3 linked regions of the Notamacropus eugenii genome follow. The main gene of each other region encodes a partner of the protein of the gene in region 3 in a complex. Links are inferred from orthologs where the notes say so. Each region holds a gene or a part of one and is shown on either strand. Other genes may lie near its edges.

Region 1 (8,009 bases), on a different chromosome or scaffold from region 3:
TCACCTGCCAACGGAATGCCAACAAGTTTCCACTACCAGCCATTTTGTATTCAAGTAAAAATGAAGAGAGAAGTGAGCAACATCAACCAAACCCTCCCTCCCAACTTCACCCAAACATGGCTAGTCAGAATTTCTTTCTATGCAACAGCACTGTAATCAATTATAAAAGGTGGTTTCCTTTGTCAGCCATTCATCTGACAAGGTTTTATTTATGTTTCACTACCATACATGAACAGATATATTTATTCAACAGGTTGTCATTCAAAGGGTCCATTAATCACATCTCCTCTTCGGGTAATGTGTATGCTTATTCTGTGCTCCTTTCCTTTCTGGGTATTAGTTTGAAATGCCCTGAGTTCACGAAAGTAAGTTATTCAGTGTAAAGAAAACTGGTTCTTTTGTTATATATGTACTATTATCAACAATCTTACTTAGATATTAAAACATAGGAAAGATTTCTGGTGTGTGCAAAAAAGCTGTTAAATTTTATGTAATCTCTCAAGTAAATACAAAATATACACACAAAAGGAACCAATCCATCCCACAAAAACTAGTGTAAGTAAAAAGCAGTGTTAGTCTGGCAGCAACGACTAAACTCTGCAACAAAAAAGTTTAGGGTGTTTTAAAAATAACATACGGAGCGCATCTGAATCTTTACTTTTAAGAAAAACTTTCTTCTTAACACACAAATCATTTTCTTATGGGTACTGATTTTTATTTCCATTTAAAATAGGGAATTTGACACCTCTTTTTCCATTAATTCCTATCTAGTTAATAATGTACTTTAAGTAAAAAAATCAATACGTCACTGCAATAATGTTGATGATTTCCTTATCTTTTAAATAAATTGAAATTCACATCTCTCACAAGTACAGGTAATGGTTGATTAGCTGTATGGAATATTCAAAGCAAACTTTTTTTAAAAAATGTAAGAGATTTCAAACAAGACTGAAAGTACATAAAGGAAAAAACTTTCATAAAGTAGCATCAAGAATCCAAACACTTAAGTGGTTAGCCAATTTTTCTTTCTACTCCTCCTCCTCTGCCACCCTCACTGTACTCCCTCCCTCCCCAAGAAGCAAATGCTAAATACTTCTAGGAGTTGTCAATGATAATCTGGGAGGCCTGCCATTAAGCTCCCATGGAACAACCCGACATAAAACCCTGTTTTCATGGAGACAAACAAAGCTGTCCTGACTCTCCAGACTAACAACTTGAGATAGCAAGAACACAGTCTCAAGTGATCTGGGATTAATAACACACCGAAGAGGCACCGTGTCTCACTTAACAACAAAAAAAGAAGTCACCACGGGAATTTCAGCACAGTCACTAGCATTTGCCTAAAAGCATAAAAAAAAAAAACCCACCCCACAATTCCAAATTGCTTTAGGCATGTTGAAGAAAACATCATGAGGACCCCTTATTATCCACACACAAGAGGGAATCCCCAGGAAAGGGAAGAGAGGTTATTACTTAATTACAACTTAGCAAAGGGGGAAAAAAATTAAACCAATCAGGCTCAAATAATTACCCATGCCTTCAACAACCCGATTTGATTCAGCATAGCTAGCAAATCCACAAAAGGAATTCTTATTTGGAAAACAAGGAAACTGGACGTGACTCTAAGTAAAATTTCCAAAGCAGAGCATTTAAATTAGATAGTAAAATGTCCCATAATAAGACCTTTTTTAAACGAGAAGAGAGGGCTGCACCAAGCCAGGTTTTAATGAACATTAACATTGAAAAACATTACAACCATTTTAAGCCTGACTTAGGATCACTCAATTGTAACTTGCAAAAGCATGTTTTTTGAAGAGAGCGACATTATTTGAAAGCTCAACATGAGAAAGAGTACCAATCCCACATAAAGTTTTACCCCAAAGCCTACTACATACATCTATGCTCAGTGCATTAAGTTGATCTTGGCTGAAAATATAAAGTGGTTAATGTTCCAAAATTATAACTTCCCTAAAAGCGTTGAGTATATGGTAATGCATTCATGAAATCATTCACACTACATCCTCAGGTCCATTTCTACATAAATAAAAGTCTGCTTCGGCTGAAAAAACACCTCCATAGGGTAATTTCCATCGAACTGCAGCTACTTTATACCAACAACGTGGCCTTTACACTGTCAAAAAAAAAAAAAAACGGTGACCGTTCTAGCTGAAACTTACCAGCAAACTCCCTTGCTGAAATACACTTTTAATAACAACTTCCAACACACTCCTCTCCTGAACACTTCCTGAAGATAAAATTTTCAGCAACAGTAACTAAGTTACAAAGAAGCAGCTCCCAGAAAGAGAAAGGAAACCCCAATCACCCAGTGGGAAAGTGAGGACGGCGTGTCTACGCTTTCCCTCCCCTCCCCCCTTCAGCAGGAGTTCAGACACCAAGCACATTTTTCATCCTTCCAATTACATCCCTCGTTTTCTGAAATTTACACGACCGAAAACTATCCTAACCCAACCGGGGGAAGGTGCCCGGACCCGGGGTCGGCCCCGGGAGGGGGGGGGGCGGTTTTCCCCCGTTTTAAGTAACCAAGGTGTTCTTTCGGCTGGCCGCGGGTGGGCTGCAGAAAATTACTAATAATCATAAATGTGCCCGGAAAGGCGCCTTCCTCGCTAAAAATAGGCTCCGAAGGAGGCTGCCTAACGACGGCTCCTAATTCTATCGGCTGCAAATTCTTTTCCTGAAAGCCTTCCCCAAAGGAGGGAAAAGGCTCGGAGGGTGGAGGGTGCATGGGGGGTGGGGGAGGGTTAAAAAAAACCCCAAACGGAACCGGGAGCGGGATCACCTTGCTGAGGCGGCGGGGGCGGAGAGGGGGAGGGGAGGCTCCATCCCAATACCGAGGATAATAATAGCGCCCCGTCAGACACCCGCTCCCCAAAGGGCCAAGTGGAAAATGTGCTAGCCTTGGGCCCAGCCCCCACGCCCGCCACCGGGAGTCGGCGCAGCCCCCTCCCCTCCACGTCCACCACCCCCCCGCCCGCCCAGGCCTCGTCCCCGCTCCCCCTTCCTTACCTGGCGCCGCTCCCCGGGGCTGGGCTGGGCCGGGCTGGGCCGGGGCTCGGCCGCCCCTCCCGCCCGCAGTGGAGGCCCAGCGAGTGCCCCCGGCCGGCCGGCCTCAGGCGCCTGGTCGGACCGCGCAGCCCGGGCGGGAGCGGCCTCGGCTCCGGGCTGGGCTCCGGGCGGGCAGCGCGACGACTCCGCCGCCGCCGCCGCCGCCGAGGAGCCCTCCCAGCTGCGCCCGCCTCCCTGCTCCGCGCGGGGGCGGCCGGGGCGGGGGCGGGGGGCGCGAGCCGGGCCGGGGGAGGGGGCGGCCGCCGCGCCGCCGCCGGGCCGCGAGCGGGAGCGGAGCACGGAGGCTGGAGCCCTGCGGCTCGGAGCGGGCGGCCAACGGCTCGGAGTCTCCGCGCCGGGGAGCGGGGCGCGGGGCGCGGGGCGCGGGGAGCGAGCGCGGAGGGGGAGGGGAGCGGGCCGGGGGAGGGGGAGGGGGAGGGGGCCGGACCAGCCAGGCGCAAATGAGCTCGCGAGGCCCGCGGCGGCGGCGGCGGCGGCGGCGGCGGCTCCTGCCGCACAGCCAAACAAACCCGAGCGCGGCGCAGAGCGGCGCAGGCAGCCAGCGCCCGCCCGGGGCGGGGAGGGGGAGGGGGAGGGAGAGAGACGCCGGGGAGGGGGAGGGGAGAGGGGAGGAGAAACGAGCGGGGAGGGGAAAGCGGCGTGGAGACGGGGAGGGGAGGGAGGAGGAACTGGGGAGTGGGAGGGGAGACGGAGAGGAGGAGGGAAGAGGAAAAGGAGGGACTGGGGAAATGGAGCTTGGAGGGGGAGGGGGAGAACGGGCCGGGCCCAGCAGGGGGGAGGCGGCGGGAGCCTGGCCGCTGGCCTGCTTGCCCCAGCTGCTGCAGGCCGCCGGGGGAGGACGGGGCTGGGATGCCCATTCCTTTCTAAAAGGCAGGCACAGAAAACAGGGGCACGTTCAGAGATGCAGGCACCAAGGGCATTTCATTTCCGGGGCTTAGCCGAAGGGAGGGGCTGGGGTGGGCCGGGAGGACCCCCAGGACACTTTCCCGGGAAGGGTCCTGCGATGGCCCGGACGCCCCGCTGCCCAGGGCTCCAGCGGGTGGGGGGATGCTCTCCGCTCCACCATCCGCACACGTGATCATGAAATAGACATGGTTACATAAAGCATCGAGGCGGAGGATCCGTGCAGGCTTCTGCGCCCGGAGAGCCCGTACGTGTGCGCTCGCTGGCGGAGCTGTGCAAGCACGCGCACATGTCTGTGTGTACAGGGTGGTTCTGTTTCATCTCTGATAGGCCGCTGACTTTAATTTCTCTCTAGACCCCTAAAATCATGAAGAAAAAACCAGGAAAAGGGTAGGCACACACACTCGACCCCGCATTACAACTGGGATGTTTCTACCCAAATGTACTGTACGTTAGGCATTTGGCCGTATTGATCTTAGGCTGGGTCTTGTTTTAAAGGTTTATTCTATCCTCTCTCATTTTTTAGCAAAAATAAGATGATTTGCTACGTGTTTACCAAATATTTGCATCAACAGCAGCAAAGACCAGGGAAGTTTTCTCACCTTTTACTTTTGATAGGTGTGTATCCCATCAGCACAAGCCATAAAATATTACTTAGAAAAGTGATAATGTGCTGGGGTGGTTAAACTAGGGGGGAGGGGAAGGAGCAGGGGGGCAGGGTTTCGTTGAAGTTTCTATCCAGTAAAACCTAAGCTCCCTGAACTTTAAGGACAGTGCCTGGCACAGGGTAAACTGTGAGTAAATGTTTATTAAATCAAATTGAAAGAGGTGAATAGTCACCATTTAAAGAAAATAAGATGGGCAGTCTTTCTAAAGCATATAGAAAAAGGGGGGGTAATCTCTTTTGTGGCATAGAGAGACCACATTATAAGCCTTCAATCCAGTTTTGAAAATATAATTTGTAACAGATTTTGCTTTCTTTTGAATAATTACTTTCTTCTAAGTAAAGTGGTTCCTTTCTACGTACTTGTTAAGCAAGGGGTTTTGTGTGTTGGACTTTCTTCAAAATGAATATTCTTAACAGTGTTTTCTTCAACTCATGCACAATGAGTTTAATGTAGCTAAAATACATTAGAAAATACTCATTTAAAATCATTGATAAGTTTTCAGAGACTAACTAAATACCTTGAAGAAATCTTCCAGTTATCTATCTGCCCATAGTCTGGTAGCTTTTTTGGTTAGAGGCCTAAATGATGAGGCTAAGGCCAAAGGATTCAGCCTATCCCTAGGGGCCACTCAGTTTCTCTAGTATGGCCTTAGAGTTCAGCGATGTCTATGCCCAGCTAACGTGCAGGTGCACAGCTTTGGTCACCACAGGAACTGAGAAAAGGAGCATAAGTAGAAACTGGCCACAGCCACTGGGCAGGGGGTGGGGGGGAATCCAACTCCAAGCTTTTCTATTCCTTATTAAGCATGTGTGAGAAGTCATCCTTGTACATAAAAGAGAGAATATATACGACATGTTATCTTTAAGTGAATGTCCTCCGTACAAAGTACACACAAGACCTCCAAATCACACCATAGAATTAATATAATTCCAATATACTCAATTTTATGGTAGTATTTTTTTTTGAAGGTGGAATGGAATCTAGGAAATTCCCTCCATGATGCTGACCTGTAATCTTACCTGTAAATGTAGTCTTAGGTCCTGAGGGTAGTGTAGTGGGGATAGAGAACTAGTCTTGGCTTCTGAAAGACCTGAAAATACCTAGCTGGTTAGGAGTTAGTTAACAATTTGTATAATATTTGTATGGGAGGAGGGGGGATCATCTCTCTAGGACAGATCAACTCTCTAGGACAGACACAGTTTCAGCATCGGGAGAGATGTCAGTACCAATTAGCCTAGGCCATAGTAGGAAAAAAAAAAAAAAGTCCTCCACTACCCCCAGGACAAGTGGTCAATCATCCAGTCTTTGCTTCAAGACTTCCAGTGAGGGGGAGCTCACTTCAGCTCAATTGGGAGTTCTTTATCACAACTCATTTCATCTCTCTGGGCCTCAGTTCCCTGATCTTCCAGATGAGGGGGTTGGAGAAGATGATCTCAAAAGTCTATTCAGCTCTGCTATTCTCTCGTGTGATCCCAAGACCTCAAAAAACCAGTGAAACAGATTCATACATGTTGGGCCTTCAGGCCATCTCACATGCAAAAATAATTTCTCTGAGTCCTCTTTTCTTGGAGTGTACTATTTTCTGTAATAGGAGCTGTTCTTTTAAATCAGAGATTTGAAAGCAGATCAGGATTCAATTCAATCTGGCAAGTGTTTATTGATCACAACATAACAAGTATTTATTGACCACCTATAGTGGAGTCTGGAAGACATGAGTTCAAAACCGGCTTCAGCTGTTTACCAGCTATGTGACCCTGAGCAAGTCACTTAACCTCTGACTCATTTTACTCGTCTGTAAAATCAGGATAATAGCAAGTACCTCCCAGGGGTGCTGGATCAAATGAGATAGTATTTGTAAAGCACTTTGCAAGCCATAAAGTGCCACATAAGTGCTTATTATACCTTATTATTTTTACTGTTGTTACTACATGCCAGGCATTGCACTAGAGGCTGAGTGGGGATACAAAGATAGAAATGAACCCATCCCCGTCCTCTAAGAGCTTACATTTTTTTCTAGGAGAAAAGGATGTACACTGTGAGGGAAGCAGCATTACACAGTTGAGAGCAGTGACCCTAAAATGAGTCAGTGGGTCCTGACAGGAACTCAGAAGCTGGGTCTCCCACCTTTGTGATTTTGGTTAAATCCTAACCTCCTCCAATTTCTACCTCTCTAGCATGAGATTGAATTAAATGGTCTCTAATGCCTCTTTCAGCTCTAAATCTATGATCCTAAGGGGAGACAGAGACAGAAAGAGGAGAGGAGAGACAGAAACAGAGAAAGAGAAAGTACGTGAGGAGGGAGGGGAAAGAAGGAGACAGTGCAGAAAGGCTTCCTGTAGATTTAAGATCTAAACTACACTGTGAGAGGTCCTATGAAGCAGAACATTCCAGGCTTGGAGGCAGGAACCTGAGGCAGCAGGTGCAGAGTCTGGTTGCCTCCATGTATCTCCCTCCCCACTTTACTGCCTTCTCCTTTGCATGAGACAAAGTCAATAAGCAGGACTTCCTCCATAGTTTTGTCATAGGATCAGAGATTTAGAATTTGAAGGGAGCTCAGAGGCCATCTGGTTAACCACATAGACTCCATTTTTATAGGAAGAAAACTGAGGCCCAAGGAGTCTAAAGGAACTTGGGGAGGGGGGGGGGTAGCTCAGGTAGCATTGGAGATAGAATTGGAAGCCAAGTTCTCTCAGTCCAAAGCTAGTGGCCTTCTTTCCAGTTATAAGTAAACCTCTCAGGGGCCTCCCACCTTCCCCCACCTCAAAAAACAAAACAAAAACCTTAAATCTTAGGGGAAATTAATAGATAGAGTTCACCACCCTTCCCACTCCCCATTTCCCTCCCCCCAAAAAAAGTGAGATCTACAGATATAAAAAATCTCTAAGCAAATTGCATACACCCTACCCCACCTACCCTGCTTCTGGAAAAAGCCTGCTGCACTGGAGTGGGGGAAGGGAAATTCTCTGTAATAATGAAAGTTCCCCAAAATGGCAACTATTCTGCTTTGTGTCTACAGCCATCAATGACATAAAGAGACCGCAGTTAGGGGTTATGTCTAATTTCTATTATCAGGCTACTCAACTGTCGGGACAAGAGGACCTTAATGTGAACCCCACATAGAGTTACCACAGACAGGTCATAGGCAATTGTTACTTCACCCTCTCAGGTTGCAACATATCCGGTGTTTGAATTTACAAACTACATTGAAATTCAAGCAATAATTAGGCACCATGGGGTGAGTTAAGGACAAAGGAGCAACCCTATTCTGCTGATTTTCAGAGCTGGCTCCCAAAATGAAAACCTCCCTCTTCTCTGAATATAATGGTAATGTGTTTCTAGAAGGAAGAAACTACT
Region 2 (7,650 bases), about 310 Mb from region 3:
TGAAGCCCCTTAATGTTCAGTGACAAAGAAAGAGAGAGAGACAGAGACAGAGACAGAGAGAAGGAAGGAAGGAAGGAAAGTACTGGCTTCTAATGAATTAATTCAATTCACTTCTCCCCAATAGGATGAAAACTGTTCATTTTTATTCCCATTTCTCTATCAGTGGGATAATAGGCATTGTATTCATTGAAAGGGAGAACTTTCTTTAGAAGCTTCTTTCTTCCAGAAAGATATTGTAGGAATGTCAGCTTTGTTTTTTCTTAGATAACATGGTGTAGTGTGTGTTTTGATGTTCAATATTCAAATGCTTTTAATCTGAAAAGCTATCTTTCCTGAGTAGAAGACAGGGGATTAGAACATGAGGGAGTGGTCGAGTGGAAGGTGGTCTTCTGCCCATACTCAAGAATAGAAAGTGCTACATGGAGCAGTTGTGCTGGAAGAAGCCATTTTGGCACCCAGACTCAATGTTATAGTACTGAATGAGCACTGACTTAGGGTCAGAAGACGAGTCCAGCTCCTGGTTCTTCTACTTACTATGCAACCTTTAGCAAATCATCTCTGACCTTCAGTCACCTCAACCAGAAAAGTGTGGGATTGAACTCCATGACATCGAAATCTCTAAAAACATAAGATTCTTTTAAATTGGCTCTTAATCTTCATTTTCCCCCCTCCTACAACTTCACCCTTGTTATGCACTGACTAATTGGAAATATGGCAACTTCAGCCTTGGGGATTCTTTCACCAAAAGTGAAATTCCTAAGATAATCTACTGCTCATCTCCATAGAGGCCACATTTTTCATCCTAATAATAATAGAAATAATAATACCTTTGAGTTTTTCATTTTTCGAAAAACATCTGAATCTCTTCAATCCTCTCTCTCTGGTTTGCTTTCTGGCTTCAACCTCTACTTCTCTAGGAATGATTCCCAGTTCTACATCTTTCACCTGCAGAGTAGGAAGAAACCTTAAAATGTCAGAGTTGGAAGCGATCTTAGAGATCATTTGGCCAAGTTAACTTTTTGATTTCATAGAAGAGAATATTAAAGCCTAGCAAGGAAAAGAGACGTTGTTGGTGAATCAAGAGATTGGGCCATATACTTCTTAAAATACACGAATTGATATCGCAGGCAACATAATTGTGGGATAGGAACTGGATGCATGATTCTACTGGTGAAGAAATCATTCCCAGGTGAGGAAATTCCTCCTATCAATGCAGGTTAGAAACTACTCTGTAACTTATAGTCTTTGTGAAAATTTTATTTTTATTTATTTTATGAATATTATATTACATGTATTTCTTTTATTTTTAATTTATGGAGTAAAACAAGCATTTTCATAATAGAGTATAATTTTTAAAAAGATGATTGCATATGAAACTGCAAATCTGTTATGTACAACTTGCTGTTTCTTTTAAATACATAATGCAATTATCATGTAAATTTCTTTTTTCTCCATTTTTTCTTCCCTTGCCTCCTATCCTAACTTATAGTCTTAGAGAATTGCCTAGAGCACATAGAGTTTGTGTGTTATACCCAGAGTTGCACACTTAGCATGTGTCAAAGGCAGGGCTTAATCTTAGACCTTTCTGGCTTCAAGGCCAGCTCTCTGCCCACTATACCCCTGCTTCTCAGGGCTTCCCTAAAAGAGAGTTCTAGAGGAAGCTTCCTATGTCCTAAAGCAGATCCCTCTTATTGAGGACAGTTTCACTGCAGAAATCCATCCACTTTTAGTTAGCCAGAACATTCCTTTCATCAGAAGGCTCGCACCCCTTGCCACATGCTAGGAGATCCTCGATGAGACCCTTGTCAATGGTAGATAACTCAGCTGTTGTTATTGTTTCTTCCACCTGGGCTCCCAGCCAAAGGAGCTACGGGTACAGAGTGGGAGTGAATGAAAGAAGGGGAAAAAAAGAGGAAACTTGAAAAGTCACATATGTATGCCTGAAACCTGCACTGGAGGCCCCTTTTTAAGAATGGGAAACCAGGAATAATCTCCGCTCATCTGATGCAGGCAGACAACATGGGGAATGCCTCTGAGACATCACAAGTCCACACCCTGGACCAACACAGACATACCTCCTGCTCACCACAGTTAGGATGCATGGGAATAAGAAAAGAGAGAGAGCCTTGTTCCTCCAGGACTCAACCAGCCCTTCCCCTGTGGTTGATCCTTATCAGCCACACAGTACCTCACCACCATGCATAGGCCAGTTTGGTCCAAGATGCATCAGCTACCTCTCATTTCACTCCCTTAAATATCCTGGCAGAAATGCTGGTATCATTGGCTACCACTCAATTCTGCTTCAGGGGATGTCCCCAGGGAATCTCCCAGTGCCACCTGAGGACAGGTTGCCTGTATTTGCTTCCTTTTTGCTGCCCACAATGCACTATCCTTCCTACCATACTGCTGCAAGTCCTCTGGGCTACTTAATTCAACCCAAGGATTTATCAAGCACCTATAGTGTGCGAGTTAATGCTTCCTCTATTTCCATTGCTTTCCATCCAAGAAGAGCCTGAGGACCCTCCCACCCCATTTACCCTCCCTTCTGCACCTATATTGATAGATTGATGAACTGTCAGAGCTGGGAGAGGGATCATGTTTGAAGGCATCAAATACAATTCCCCGATTTTACAAATGAGCAGACTGAGGTACAACAAAGTGACTTAGCCAAGGTCTTGAGGGGAAGAGAAGGAGAAAGACTAGACCTTTGATATCATCAGTATAAGAACTTTAAGAAACTGCCTTTACCAGTGAAAACGTACAACTCTTCTGCAGCTTATATCTTAGAAAGTCTGTTGTTGTTCAGTCATGTCCTAGTCTTGATAACCCCATTTGGGATTTTCTTAGCAAAGATACTGGAGTGGTTTGCCATTTACTTCTCCAGCTCATTTTACAGATGAGGAAACGGAGGCAAACAGAATTAAGTGACTTGCCCAGAGTCACATAGCTAGTAAGTGTCTAAGGCCTCTCTTTACCTAGAAACACATTCAGAGGCAAAGTCTCTTGACTAGGGTCAGCCAGTCAGTATGTGTCAGAGGTGGGACTTGGGCTCAGGTCTTTCTGACTCCCAGACTAGCTCTTTGTCCCGTGCCCATGATGCTTCTTCAAAGGTCCAAGGTAATATAGCCAGTTAGCAGTAGCTGGTTCCAGGACTTGGGTCATCCGAATCCTGGTCTAGCACACTATAGGGTGCTAATTCTTATTCCCCTTCAAGGAAAAACAAAAACATTATTCAGATTTGCTAAGGAAAGAGTATGTGTTTGTAAAAGCCAGTGGATGGGAATGATTGATGGATCACTTATCTCACTAAAGGGTTATACATGCTGGGGGGGAAAAAGACAAAATTACTAACTTGAAGAAAGAACAGTACTTAATACAAGAGATTTCCACCTGTGTATCAGTCCTGGATTGCAGGGCAATGATCCTGTTTTGATACAGAAAAGAATCTGAATGCAAGGAGTAAACCAGAAAGCAGCTTCAGAATTCCTTCTCTTGGAAATTGGAGGATGCCCCCTAGCCACCACTCTGCTTCTTGTTTCATATGCGATGCAACCAGAGGATTTGCCAAAACTTGCTTATTATTAAATAATCATAATCTTTTTGCATTTATGTGATTTTTTTTTTTACAATCACTGTGAGATAGATACAGTGCAGGTATTATAATCCCTATTTTATGGATGAAAGAATTGAGGCTGAGAGAATTAAAATGGTCATCATCTTATGATTATCAGTTAGGACTTGACGGAGGTCTCTAGATTCTCAGGCTAGTGCTTCATCCATCATTCTATTTGACCTCTGTGAGTTCAAGAAAAGTAATCGATCAGTCGACAAGCAATTTTTAAACATAGCTATGTTCCAATTAGTGGGAATAATGAATCACCTGAAGTGGTCTCATTGGTTTGAATTCTCACTATTTATTTCCATTGGGTTGGAGCCAATGACCATATTTTACATAATCGTAACTTTGAATGGTACAATATGTAACATAAACATTAAGACAAATATATACATATATATATATATGCACAGAGACAGAAACATAGAGAAAGAGATACATGCATTCATACAGACACACATCCAAGATACATACACATTAGATGAAACGTAATCCCAAACAAAGCCAGGATGATTTCTGGAAGCCAAGGAAGGTGCAGCTTTTGGGGAACTCATTCTCCCACGGGCCCTATGCAGGCTCAAGCTTGATCCTATCTCTTGCCAAAACACTCCCTGTGCCTGGGCCCTATGGACCTGGGGGTTTCTGAAGGAGATTCTTTTCCAAGCCTATTTAGGAAAGGATAAAGGAAAAGGCAGAAGAGATCTCCCAGAAGGGAAATCTGAATTAAGCAAGACTGAGACCAATCTCTGAAGTAATCTATGCTGGCAACAGCCCTGGGCATCAGATAGGAGGCTTGACAACTGTGGTGAAGCAGGTTAGTCAAACAAAGTGCAGGCAACAGATTCCCCCAAGGTCACAGGTAAACAGGCCAGGACTGAGTGCCCACACTGACACACCCCTCTGACAGACAGAGTTTCAAGTTCAAATTTCATTGTCGTTTGCTACACACCCATACATAGGCTGGGCTGGGCTAGAAGAGGAAGATGTGTCGTTCTAATATGATTCCTCTTAAGCTGAGGCTGTGTTATTTTCTCGGCATTTGAGAGATGGCCAAGAGGCAGGAACCCAGCGATCCAAATTCTTATCTTTCCTCAACAACTAAAAAGATGGTAAGTCACCAGAACCCAGAGTGGTGGTGGGTGGAGGCAGGGGAAGAAGGCAGACTATCTTTACCTTCTCCAGTTGTCTGAGATTCTGAGATATGTGACTGTTAGTTTCAAATCTCGGAAGTGCCAAAGCTGATTTTGTTAGCTTTTAGACAAGCGGACACAACAATCATTCTAAGAATATTTAGAAGGCAAAATCAAGACGTTGAAAACAATGATCACATTTTGAGTAAGGTGATGAAAATACTTCCATGTGAAACTCCATATTTTCATCCAGGTTAGTGAGGTGGAGGACAGAGGAAATGTGGAGTGAACCTCTTTCCCCTTTGGTTACTGACTTTTAATTGAATAATTTTAGAATTATCTGTTAAGATTAGCACTTGGAGTGAGGGAACCTCTGGGAAGGGAAAGAAGGAGATCAAACTCTGGTGCTCTATAGAGTTCTGGGGAGGAGGGCTTTAAGGGGAGAGAGCACAAAAACACAAAGCCATCCGGAAGTAGTTAGACCTGCATTGAATTAAAAGGTATTTATTAGAAGTGCCTAAGAGTTATATGTTCTGAAAATATGGTATTATGGAAAACACCCTGGATTTTGGATCAGAAAATTTGTGTTTGAGTAACAGCAGCTCCTTGTTATCTACATGACCTTTGGCAAGTCATTTAATTTTTCTGGTTCTAGTTTTCACTTCCATAAAATAGTGGAAGGAAGGAATGAGTGGCAAGATGATCTCAAAGGTTTCATTAGCCCTAGAGAGTCCAAATCTATAGGTCTTAATTATTTCTTTAAAGAGAGAAGTGTCTTGTGACATGCAACTCCCAAGCTGGGACAACTTGGAAGTGATTCATTGGTTCTCCTTAGAGAGGTATTGGAAAGTTTTGAGAAAGAGCAAATGGAGCTCCTGGCTAGATCTGGAATCTTCCATTGGATGGGATGTCTGGTAGGATGTTGGGGGAAAGGAATATTGGTTTGGTAACTTACATAGGGATATCTAGGGAGCAGCAGAGTTGAATGCCTATCACCTTGTTCCTAGTAAAAGAATTGTATTTCAATAAGGATTATAGTAACTAGAGAGTGGAGGGAACAATAGGAGGTGGTGATACAGTTGTAAACTTTTCCTCTCTTGAGAGTATGTGAATTGGCATCTGAAACTTGTATCTCCCAATGTCATGTAAAGAAATAGAAGTTCATTTCAGAGAGAATTTCTGAATCAGAGGATATAGGAATCAGAGAATTCAGAATCATAATCCTGAGTTGCTGGGAGGAGGACAGTGAAGCTGAATGGGGTACCTAGAGGATAATCTCTCTGTCCTTTATCAGGGTTCATGCTCTCCAAGGCCTTCCCTGCTCATTCCCTGAAATGTGTGTACTCCTTTAACTTTGCCATTGCCTATCTGGCCATCTATTCAGTGAACTTACCTGATCATTGCTTTCCTGAACTCTCCCGTTTCCTAGATGGAAGAAAAGAAAGAAAAACTTTAGTGGATGGAATGGGAAAGTAGTACAGGTGAGAGGCAAGGAAACACAGTGTGTAAAGAGAAGAAATAAAAGCTCTTGGGTTCTTGTATAGGAGCAAGCGTTATTTTGTTTCTCCCCACCCTATTGCCTTCCCAGAAAATTAAACCCTTATTGCAGTCATAGCTGAAATCATCAGAATAGGCACATTTCGGGGTGAGAACAGGGAGCTGATCCAGGATACTTTGTAATCTCAGTTAATACTTCTTGGGGACACATGTATCTAGGTACATGCACTATGTACCTCTATCCTGTATCCTGCAGAGGTAGGGAAGCGTATAAAAGTTGTGGATAGTGAGGAGGCAGAAATTTAAAGCTCACACCAACCTCCAACCCCTCTCTAGTGGGCTGTCAAACTTTCCCAGGTTTCTCCAGGATAAACCTTTCTTGTTGTGTCAGCTAAATTTCCCAGAGGAACTAAAGGGTTTTCTTGCATTATTGTAAAAATAGTCGTGAAATGTCTCCCATGACTGCGTGTCTCTAGATCCTACATTTGTACCTCCCAGAGATTATGTTCAGGCTTCTCTTTCATACACGGTGAGATCACAGAGTCTTGGGATTTAGATCTACCAATGTTACCTAGTAGGGATTGTTCGGTTATCTACTTGTTCTCACTAACCCACTATAAATTCCAACCTAAGAATTCCTTAAGTTTAAGGTTCTAAGCTATGAGAAACGAATCCATTGTCTACTTTATAAACTCTTTAGGTTTTAAATTCATACACGTATACACACACATGCACATGCACACACATGCATGTATATTCAGTTTACTTATAATGAGAGATACTGGTATGCATATGTTCCTTTTCTCTCCCTAAACCTCACTATCCTCATCTGTAAAATAAGAATAATTCTAACTGTACTACCTGCCTCACTATAAGGAAAGCATATTATAAGCCTTAAAGTGGAGCATATTTGTCAATTATTAGTATTTTTTCATGTCTTTGACTTATGTGGCACATTTCAGACTTGAATCCAATGAATACTTATTAAACACTTGCTATGTTCAGAGTACTAAGTACCAGGGAAATAAAGATCAAAGTGACAAAAGTCCTCCCTTCAAGGACTTTAGTTTCAACTGAAGAGGTATAACATAAATAAATAAATACAGGATTAATGCTCTGTTGAGAAAACTATGAAAGTGTTTAGCCCATCTCTTAGGATTATATCCTTATCACTAATTAATATGGCTCCATCAGCACAGAGCAGTTGAGGTGTTTGGCCCATAATGAAGTAAGAGAAAATACAACTACCTGAGAGAATTAAAGAAAGAAAGGCTTTATGGAGTAGTTGGTGCCAAAAAGTTTTCAGAGGGGCAGAGCTAAGGAAAAAAGGCAGCTTTTGACAACTGCAGGGTGGGAATGTCAAGTTCAAGGAACAGCTAGTAGCCCAGGTTGACTAAAGTGCAGAGT
Region 3 (7,927 bases):
TTCCCTCCATCACCTCAAACTTCTTAGCATGGTGCAGTCCTCCAGCCCAGTTAATGGCAATATCACAGATCTAAAGGACAAACATCCAAATCATAGCCCTCCCCATACCTAAGGCACAGGGAACATGAGGATGGGGCAAAAGCTCAGTGGTTGTGGATACCATAGCAGTGGATGAATGGGGGTGGACAAGGATATGCTTACCTTGTTGTTCAATTGTGTAGCTCCCTGCAGGGAAGCACCTGTGTAACGGGAACAGAACTCAAAGAGGCCTGGGAACACAGGACTGTAAGACAGAGGTCATGGCTGGATCACTCAGAGCCTTGGCTCCTTTCTCAAGAAACTGAACACCCTCTCAGGCAATACACCTAATCCAATTTAGGCCCTCTTTCTTTTACCTTCCATCCTATTCATTCGTCTTTTTATTAAAAAAAAAAAAGTATGTGTGTATATATGTATATATATGTATATACACACACAGAGAATGTTATTTATTTATTGCACACCTAATATTTGCCCAACACTATTCTAGGCACTGTGGGGAAAGACACACATAAAGAAAAATGAAGAACAATTTAAGAGATATCATAACATAGCATATAATTAGTGTCAAGTCAATAGTACAGCCAAAAATGCTATAGGAAATAAGAGGAAGGAGAAATAATGAGGCTGCAGCCACCAGAAGGCTTCATGCAGGATTTGGAACTTGAGCTAAACAACTGGTAGAATTTAAATAGGTAGAAGGACATGGGCAAAGCAGAATATGCATGGCATATTGAGGAAAAAAGAAAATCAGTTGGCAGTTCGTGTAGGGGAGGAGCAAAAGACAAAGTTGGAGAGTCAGTTTAAAAGAAAGACCAGGAATAACCCTCAAGGCCAAGCTAAAAAGTTTGGGAGTTTGTACTACTTACCCTATATGGCAGGTCTCCCCAACTTGAATATAAATTCCTCAAGTTCAAAACTGTACTTCTGTGTGTCCCCAATTACATTTGACACAGTACCTTATGTCTTTTTCTCCCCATAACTTCCCTCCTTCTTCTCTACAATTAATTCCCCACCCCAATGACCAACACTGATCCACATCAAGGGTCCCTTGACCTTCCCTCACCAATCATCCCCCACATTGAAGGCATTGAGACTCTTAGTAAAGCCCTGCATGTTGGTGGGGCTGACCCGCTGCAGGAAGTCAATATAATCCTCTGAGTGGAAGCGGCACATATCATGCTGAGAGGCTTGGTATGGCTTGAAGACCTTGGAATAAAGAAAACATGTTGAACTTTGGCAGGATTAGTTCCAAATTAGGAGGCTTTGACTGCTTCAGTCCAACCTCAGAGGTTCCAACGTACTCCCACCCAAGTACCCACACACACACACACACATACAGACACACTCCCTCTTACATGGAGGTCTCCCCATGGAAAAAAAAGATCAATCTGAGGCTAAAGCAAAGATGCTGAATTCAGTCATTGACTATTTTGCTATATTTATCCCCACCCACATTCTCATGTTTCCCATGTCACCCTTTCCTCGGTCCCCCACTCCTTCCTGTCCTTCTCCATAGTCCTGCTGTCCGATCACCTCTGGATTCAAATGTGACATTGTACATGAAAATATTTTGAAAAGCATCAATCAATATACAAATATAGTACATTATTATTGTATTCTCTTTGTTATGATTCCCCAAATTAATTGGAAGCTTTCTGAAATTGGAGATTATGTCTTTTCCAATAGTTAGAACACTCTCTAAAGGTAAATGCTTTCTCTTTTATATCAAAATACAGAGCTCTACAAATACTGGAAAAACAAATTCAGTATATATATATCAAAAGACTCCACAGGGTAGCCAATCTATTTTAGTAACCCTATTCTAAGCAAACCCATCTATGGATTTTATATTTAACAGTAATCCTAAAAGTGACCATCAACGGCATGCATATGCATACCATTCTGAGTCGGAACAGTCTCAGTTCTCATCTTCCATGACCTAACCATGTCAAAGAAATATGCCTTGGCCAGTAGCCACAGAGACAAGGTTCTGTGTGTGCTGTGGTAGATTTTGGGGTGTATCTTTTTTGGAGGGGGGGAACAGAGAGGTGCCAAGTATATGAGTAGCCAACCCAAGCCCCTTAACTCTCAACTTGGAGGGAGTCCTCCTAAGGCCATACAAACCAAAACAGAAAGACGGAAGGGCTGAGTTAACTCTTGTACAGGTGCATACTCAAAGTATCCTCTCATTCTGTTGGGATACTAAAGTTCTGGCATCTTCCTATGATAATAAAAGGATACTGTGGGACAGCATGAGAGGTGAGGTGATATTGTAAAAAAATATATATATATATGTTGGATTTGGAGTCAGAAGATCTTGGTTCAAATCACAGGCTTTCTACATAGGTTACCTGTTTAACTTCCCCTTTCTTGGCCTCAGTTTCCCATCTATAAAATGAAGGGCGTTTCACTAGAGAGATCTCTAACATCCCTTCCAATCATTATTAACAACCTTTCTAACCCCTATTAACCTATCTATGTATGACTCAGGGGATGAAGGGGTCTCCCTGTCCCCATTTCCTCTAAGCCTGCACCCCAAGTGCAAGTGCACACTCCCCTCCCGCACTGCACCCCCTCTCCAATCGTGGGGTGGTGGAGAGGATGGAGGAGAAACACTCACAATCATCTTCTTGTAGAGTCCATAGTGCAGCACCAGGCTGTGGGTGAGGGCCAGACGATGAGGTTTCATGGGGTGACCGGCCCCTGGAGAAAGGGGTGGTAAAGAAGGGTCTCCGAGTCACCACCCCAAAGGGCCCAACCAGGATCCTCCCTCCCCAGGGTCCTAGGGAACTCGCTCCACCCCACCCCCACCTCCCAATCCTCCACTTGGTCCGGGTTGTGGGGGGTGGGGGGACAGAGGTGAGGGAGCCTGCTCGCGCCCGTGCCCCCTACTCCCCCGCCCTCTTCCTCCCCCATTCCCCACCTCGCTGCCCGGGGTTCTCCTCCCCATTCTCACCATAGTGGAAGTTCCCCACATCCGGGTCATAGAAATAGGCCACCGTCTTGGCCATAGTACCAGGGGGACCAGGCCCCGCGCCTCCGCCCTCCAGCCCCGCCTCCAGGCCCGTGCGTTCTGCGTCATCGCGCGACGCCACGCCCCTTGCGGAATCCGAGGTCGCTGGGGTCTCCAAGGCTCAAGGGAGGGGGAAATCAAGGCCCCGCCCCGGCCCAGAGGTGCCACGCCCCCTGACTCCGGTAGCTCCGCCCCCTCAAGGCTGGCTGCTTCTGCTGGCTGGGGTGACTGAACACCGCGGGGAGGGTGGGGCCGAGCCCCAGAGGGAGGGTGTTCCCGGGGTATCCGCGGAACTTGAAGTGCACAATCGGTCCCCGAGAAGCTGAGCATCTCAGAGTTCCCCATTTTCCAAGCCTTTAATTCCACAGAGGTTTATTAATCGTTCAGTCCGTGGGCATCCCATCCCCCCTCCTATTCACCCTGAGAAGTAGGGGGTTCACATCCCGCCGCCGCGTTTCTACCTGGGCACTGGGGATGAGAGGCTGTCCTAGGGTGCAGGGAGCTGTCTGTATCCTGCCCGAAGGGCAACTGACACCTTCCCACCTGCCGGGCTCCCAGATTCCCGGGTTGTACCCAAGAACCAGAACAAGGGGGCATATCACCCAGCGGTGGCCAAGGTGCCTGAGAGACCCACGCCCCGAGTGGGACACACTGACACGGAGACCTAGCCGTGTCAGACACTGTGGTGTCACGCACGCACTCCGTCCCACACACCTGCCGCTCCGCCCCCTTTATTCCCGTGCCCGCGCAGGGAGCACAGCCGGAGAGAGAGCAGCCGGGACTAGGAGGTGGCTGCGGTAGAGGCCCCCCCATCCCCTTCCCATCCCCAACCCTGAAAGTCCAGAGGACGCCTGCACCCAATTCGATTTCCGCTTTCCCTCCTTCCCTATCCTCCGCCTTCCTGTACCCCTACTCCCCTACCCCCAGCCCGCCGCGGCACCAGCAGCCGCAGCCCGGAGCCGGAGCTGGAGCGGGTGAGGTGGCCTGGGGGGTGGGGAGAAGGGGGGAGGAGGATGCTCTCGGGAAGGGCTCCCAGGGCAAGCTGAGAGGTACTAGGACGCTGCCGGAGCCAAAGCCGAACATACATACCGCATCCCCAGGGGCCGTGCAGAGACCACAAGGTCAGCTGGGCCAGGGGAATTGAGGGGGGGGGGGGTGCATTCTGGAGAGGGAGGGGAGTCCAGAATGTCTCTAGGAGCCAGGAGTTGGAGAGCGGTGGGACAAACTGAGGGGTATTGAAGGAAAGGAGCGTTTCAGGGGACCTGACCTGGGGTTGTGGAGGAAGTGAGGGGCCAGCGCTGACTCAGACTATGCCCAGGACCGCATCATAGAGCTCCGTCCAGTCTTCAGTGACAGTGTCCTTGGGAGGAATGGGGATGGGGAGAAAGTAGGGTTTGTTTATGCAGGGAGAAGGAAGGCACGTAATATCAAAGGGAAGAGGGATGAAGGTTGGATTAGGAGTATGGAAAACAACTTGCAACCCCTATTGACCAGGTGCCCCGGGGCCTGGCTGACTAGCACCCAATCCCTGGACAGCTCCTGGGCTGAGAAGGCAAGGGGTTCTGGATTTACTGGAGGGTCCTGGGGGGACTCCCGGTAGGGGTCCAAGCATGGAATTCACCGCCCTCCCCCTGACTCCATCCCTCTTTGAGGCCCTGACCCCGGCTCGGCCCGCCCCCCAGGGCCGCATGTCGGAATTGCAACCAGGACCAGAGCCCCAGCATGGGCTGTACATGCTGTTCCTTCTTGTGTTGGTCTTCTTTCTCATGGGCCTCGTGGGGTTCATGATCTGCCATGTACTCAAGAAGAAGGGTTATCGCTGTCGGACATCGAGAGGCTCAGAGCCCGAGGATGCCCAGCTCCAGCCACGTAAGTGTGGGAAAAGAGGGGGAGCCCCATCACCAGGGACCAGCCGCCTTCATTTTCTTCCTTGTACGTCCTTCCATCACACACTTGTATGTGCCACACACACCTGCACCTTTCACTAACACTCCTGAGTGCACCTTATCCAGGTCTCTTCTTCCTCTCTCCTACCCCTGGTGGGAAGATGACTCCTCCAGAGCGACTTCCATCCCCCTTTGCTCCCCTGTTATCCATAACTCACAGTTCATGTTTCATTAACCTGTCAGGGAGTTTTTGCAGCTTAGTTTGGGGGATAGAGTGCAGTGAGTTCAGTAACTAAAAGGCAAAAATCACAGTGACTGAGGTCTCGTGAAGTATTTTGGGGACCTGCTGGTTCATTACTCCTGAAATTATACAGTAGGCTGAAACAGAACCCCTGGGAAAGTGAAAAGGAGGCAGGAGGAAGAGAACGGCCTCCTTGTGAAACTTTGGCAATCTCCTACCACCTCAGTTCTCTGTGACTCGATATTACCATCTATAAAATGAAGGGATTGTACTCTATGACCTCTAACGTCCTTTATGGCTTTGGAGTTGTAATCCTATGGTGGTCACTGATCTTGAACCACTAGAACTGCCAGGAAGCCAAATAAGGTGGTCATGAAACTCAAAGGAACAATCCAAAGGCCAGTGACTTTGCGTTGGCCCCAGTCTCTCTTTCCCTGAAGTTGACCCCTTTCCTCCCCTCCACAGCGGATGATGAGGATGTGAATGAGGACACAGTGGAAAGGATTGTCCAATGCATCATCCAAAATGAAGGCAAGTGCTCACTGGCATCTGCTGTTCAGTCCCCTGCTCCATTCCTACATCCATGACATTCTCTTGCCACTTGTCTTTTACAGCCAATGCTGAGGCCTTGAAAGAGATGCTTGGGGACAGTGAAGGTGAGGCAACAGTACAGCTGTCCAGGTGAGCTGGAAGTGTGGAGAATTCCCCCAAATACTGATCAGGACAGCACTTTCTCCTTAACAACTAGCCCCTGTTAAAGTCACAACTTAATTAGTTGGACACTATGATTTGAGGAGCACCAGGCTATCCAAGTATCACTGTCTCAATTCCATCATTCATTCTTTAGGCTAGTTATTGACTTCACAATGTAGCCTCATTGGATTTAAATAGCCTTGAGTCACAAAATGTTGTCACTAGTTCCTTGGTGTGAATCAGAGTTTGGAGAAAGAATAGGGCAGATAGAAAGATGGGGGGTGGGGGGGGGAGTGTCGAATGGATGCACAGAGGGCACAGTGGAAAGGATTTTCCTTTATTCTTTCAGTCTTGATGGTGCTCCAAGCCTCCAGGATGGGACTCCATCTCATCACCATACAGTTCACCTGGGCTCATCAGCCCCTTGTATCCACTGCAGCCGAAACAAGAGGCCACCTCTCGTCCGACAGGGCCGATCCAAAGAGGGCAAGGGCCGTACTAGGCCAGGAGAGACCACAGTATTCTCTGTGGGCAGGTGTGGATAGAGCACCCAAAGAAGAGGGGGGCAGCATTCAGGGCCTCCCATTCAGGTGGTAAATCTTTCTAAGACAGTTGGCCTGACCGGAAGATTTATCCAGGCTTCCTTACTTAGTATTACTCCCCTCCTATTCTGGAGGGTAGGGGAAGAGGAGGGTTTCCAGCCAGGGAGTACTCTTGGGGTTGATTCATCTATGTGCTGAGGATTCCTTTGCTTTCAGAAGCTATCAAATGTCAGTAAATGGGAGTGCTGGGGGCAGTGTTGGGAGAAAGGGTTCAGAGAACCTCTAGCAATCCTGAGTCACAGCATATTCCCTTCCCTTCCAGGTTCCGGGTGACACATATTGAGAAGAGACTTGGGCTTCATGAACATCGAGATGGCTCACCCATCGATAGAAGTTGGGGCTTCAGTGGTGGGCAGGACCCAGGGGGTGGCCAGAGTTCTGGGAAAGGGCAGATTGGGACTGGAACTCCTGCCACAGAGAGACTTCCAGCATCAGGGCCAGAGGTTGGCATCCTATCTAGTTCCCCTGTACAGAATGGGGGCCTCAGAGAAAGGAGCCTTGTCCCCTTTCTGACTGAGAAGCCCTCTGGAGCCATGGAAGACTCAGAGGCAGCAGCCAGAGAGAGGGACACAAGGCCAGTGTTGACCAGAAGGGAAACTAATGGACAGCCAGCCAAACTGGATGCCTCAGATCTCCAGGTAGGCAACAATCAGATGTGTGTATAGAGAAGTCAGGGTGGGCAGAGTCACTGGATAAAGCCACAGTCCCTGCTTAGTAGGTCCAGTTTTCTGACTAGATGAAGTTAGAGAGTTTATGGTAGCCCTTTCCTTCTTTATCTCAGGTGTTACCGCCAGGTGGCTCAAGATGAGTGTGAGGTGAGTCTGGCCCTCCCAAAATGTGTTTGTTTCCAGGGAAGGGCGGGCACCCCAAGGTAAAAAACAAAAAACTTCAGCCTATGAAGCTGATTTTAAGGAGGGAGGGGCTAAGGGCACCACTGCTCCAAGGGGCATTGAGAAGGGAAGGGCAACATGAGGTAGAGTGGAGGGGGAGGGGTGGAGAAAGGCTAGAGGAGGCAGGAAGACTATCCCCTTCCCTCTCCTTTTCCCCAAGCTTTATCTTCACTCCCTACTGCAAGGATGAGTAGCTGACTGGGCAGGGAAGAGGGACAAGCATGAAGCCCTCTCCTCACTCTGAGACAGCATTGCCCTCCAGGAAAACAAAACAACCCCTCTTCCTGGGGGCTATATTATCTCAGTCTGGGAATGAAGAGAGTGGTCCCCAGCCTCTCAATCCCTTCCCTCCACTTCATCTCCAGCCTAAGACAGGTCAAAGGTGAGGAGAAGTTACCCCTACATTCACCCCAGGCTCACTCCTCCTTCATCAACTTGCTCCCCTGCTTGAGTGTGGAATTTGGGAGCAGGCCCCATGCTCAAGATGGGCACCTGAAGCAATACTCCCCAATAGGCCTCCCTCTCAGCACACAAAAGCTCAAGCACTGGCTTGGGTTCCT

What was found. The genes of interacting proteins can lie anywhere in the genome.
Region 1: HDAC3 (region 3) and TBL1XR1 share a complex: the UniProt entries of both Homo sapiens proteins name them as parts of the N-Cor repressor complex. The link is inferred for Notamacropus eugenii from reciprocal best matches to the Homo sapiens genes HDAC3 and TBL1XR1.
Region 2: HDAC3 (region 3) and CORO2A share a complex: the UniProt entries of both Homo sapiens proteins name them as parts of the N-Cor repressor complex. The link is inferred for Notamacropus eugenii from reciprocal best matches to the Homo sapiens genes HDAC3 and CORO2A.

What each region holds. Positions count from the first base shown.
Region 1 is NC_092877.1:346,936,470-346,944,478, reverse strand, and holds the start of TBL1XR1 (F-box-like/WD repeat-containing protein TBL1XR1), read right to left. Parts: upstream 3,089-8,009; 5' UTR 3,025-3,088; intron 2,868-3,024; exon of another isoform or gene 2,178-2,867; intron 1-2,177. UniProt on the Homo sapiens protein: F-box-like protein involved in the recruitment of the ubiquitin/19S proteasome complex to nuclear receptor-regulated transcription units. Plays an essential role in transcription activation mediated by nuclear receptors.
Region 2 is NC_092872.1:63,135,280-63,142,929, forward strand, and holds the start of CORO2A (coronin-2A), read left to right. Parts: upstream 1-4,562; 5' UTR 4,563-4,662; coding exon 4,663-4,725; intron 4,726-7,650.
Region 3 is NC_092872.1:369,001,009-369,008,935, forward strand, and holds the start of HDAC3 (histone deacetylase 3), read right to left. Parts: upstream 3,086-7,927; 5' UTR 3,054-3,085; coding exon 2,999-3,053; intron 2,746-2,998; coding exon 2,663-2,745; intron 1,349-2,662; exon of another isoform or gene 1,249-1,348; coding exon 1,106-1,248; intron 284-1,105; coding exon 202-283; intron 71-201; coding exon 14-70; intron 1-13. Other genes in the region: RELL2 (RELT-like protein 2), read left to right, coding at 4,666-4,924, 5,648-5,713, 5,797-5,863, 6,225-6,410, 6,740-7,115. UniProt on the Homo sapiens protein: Histone deacetylase that catalyzes the deacetylation of lysine residues on the N-terminal part of the core histones (H2A, H2B, H3 and H4), and some other non-histone substrates.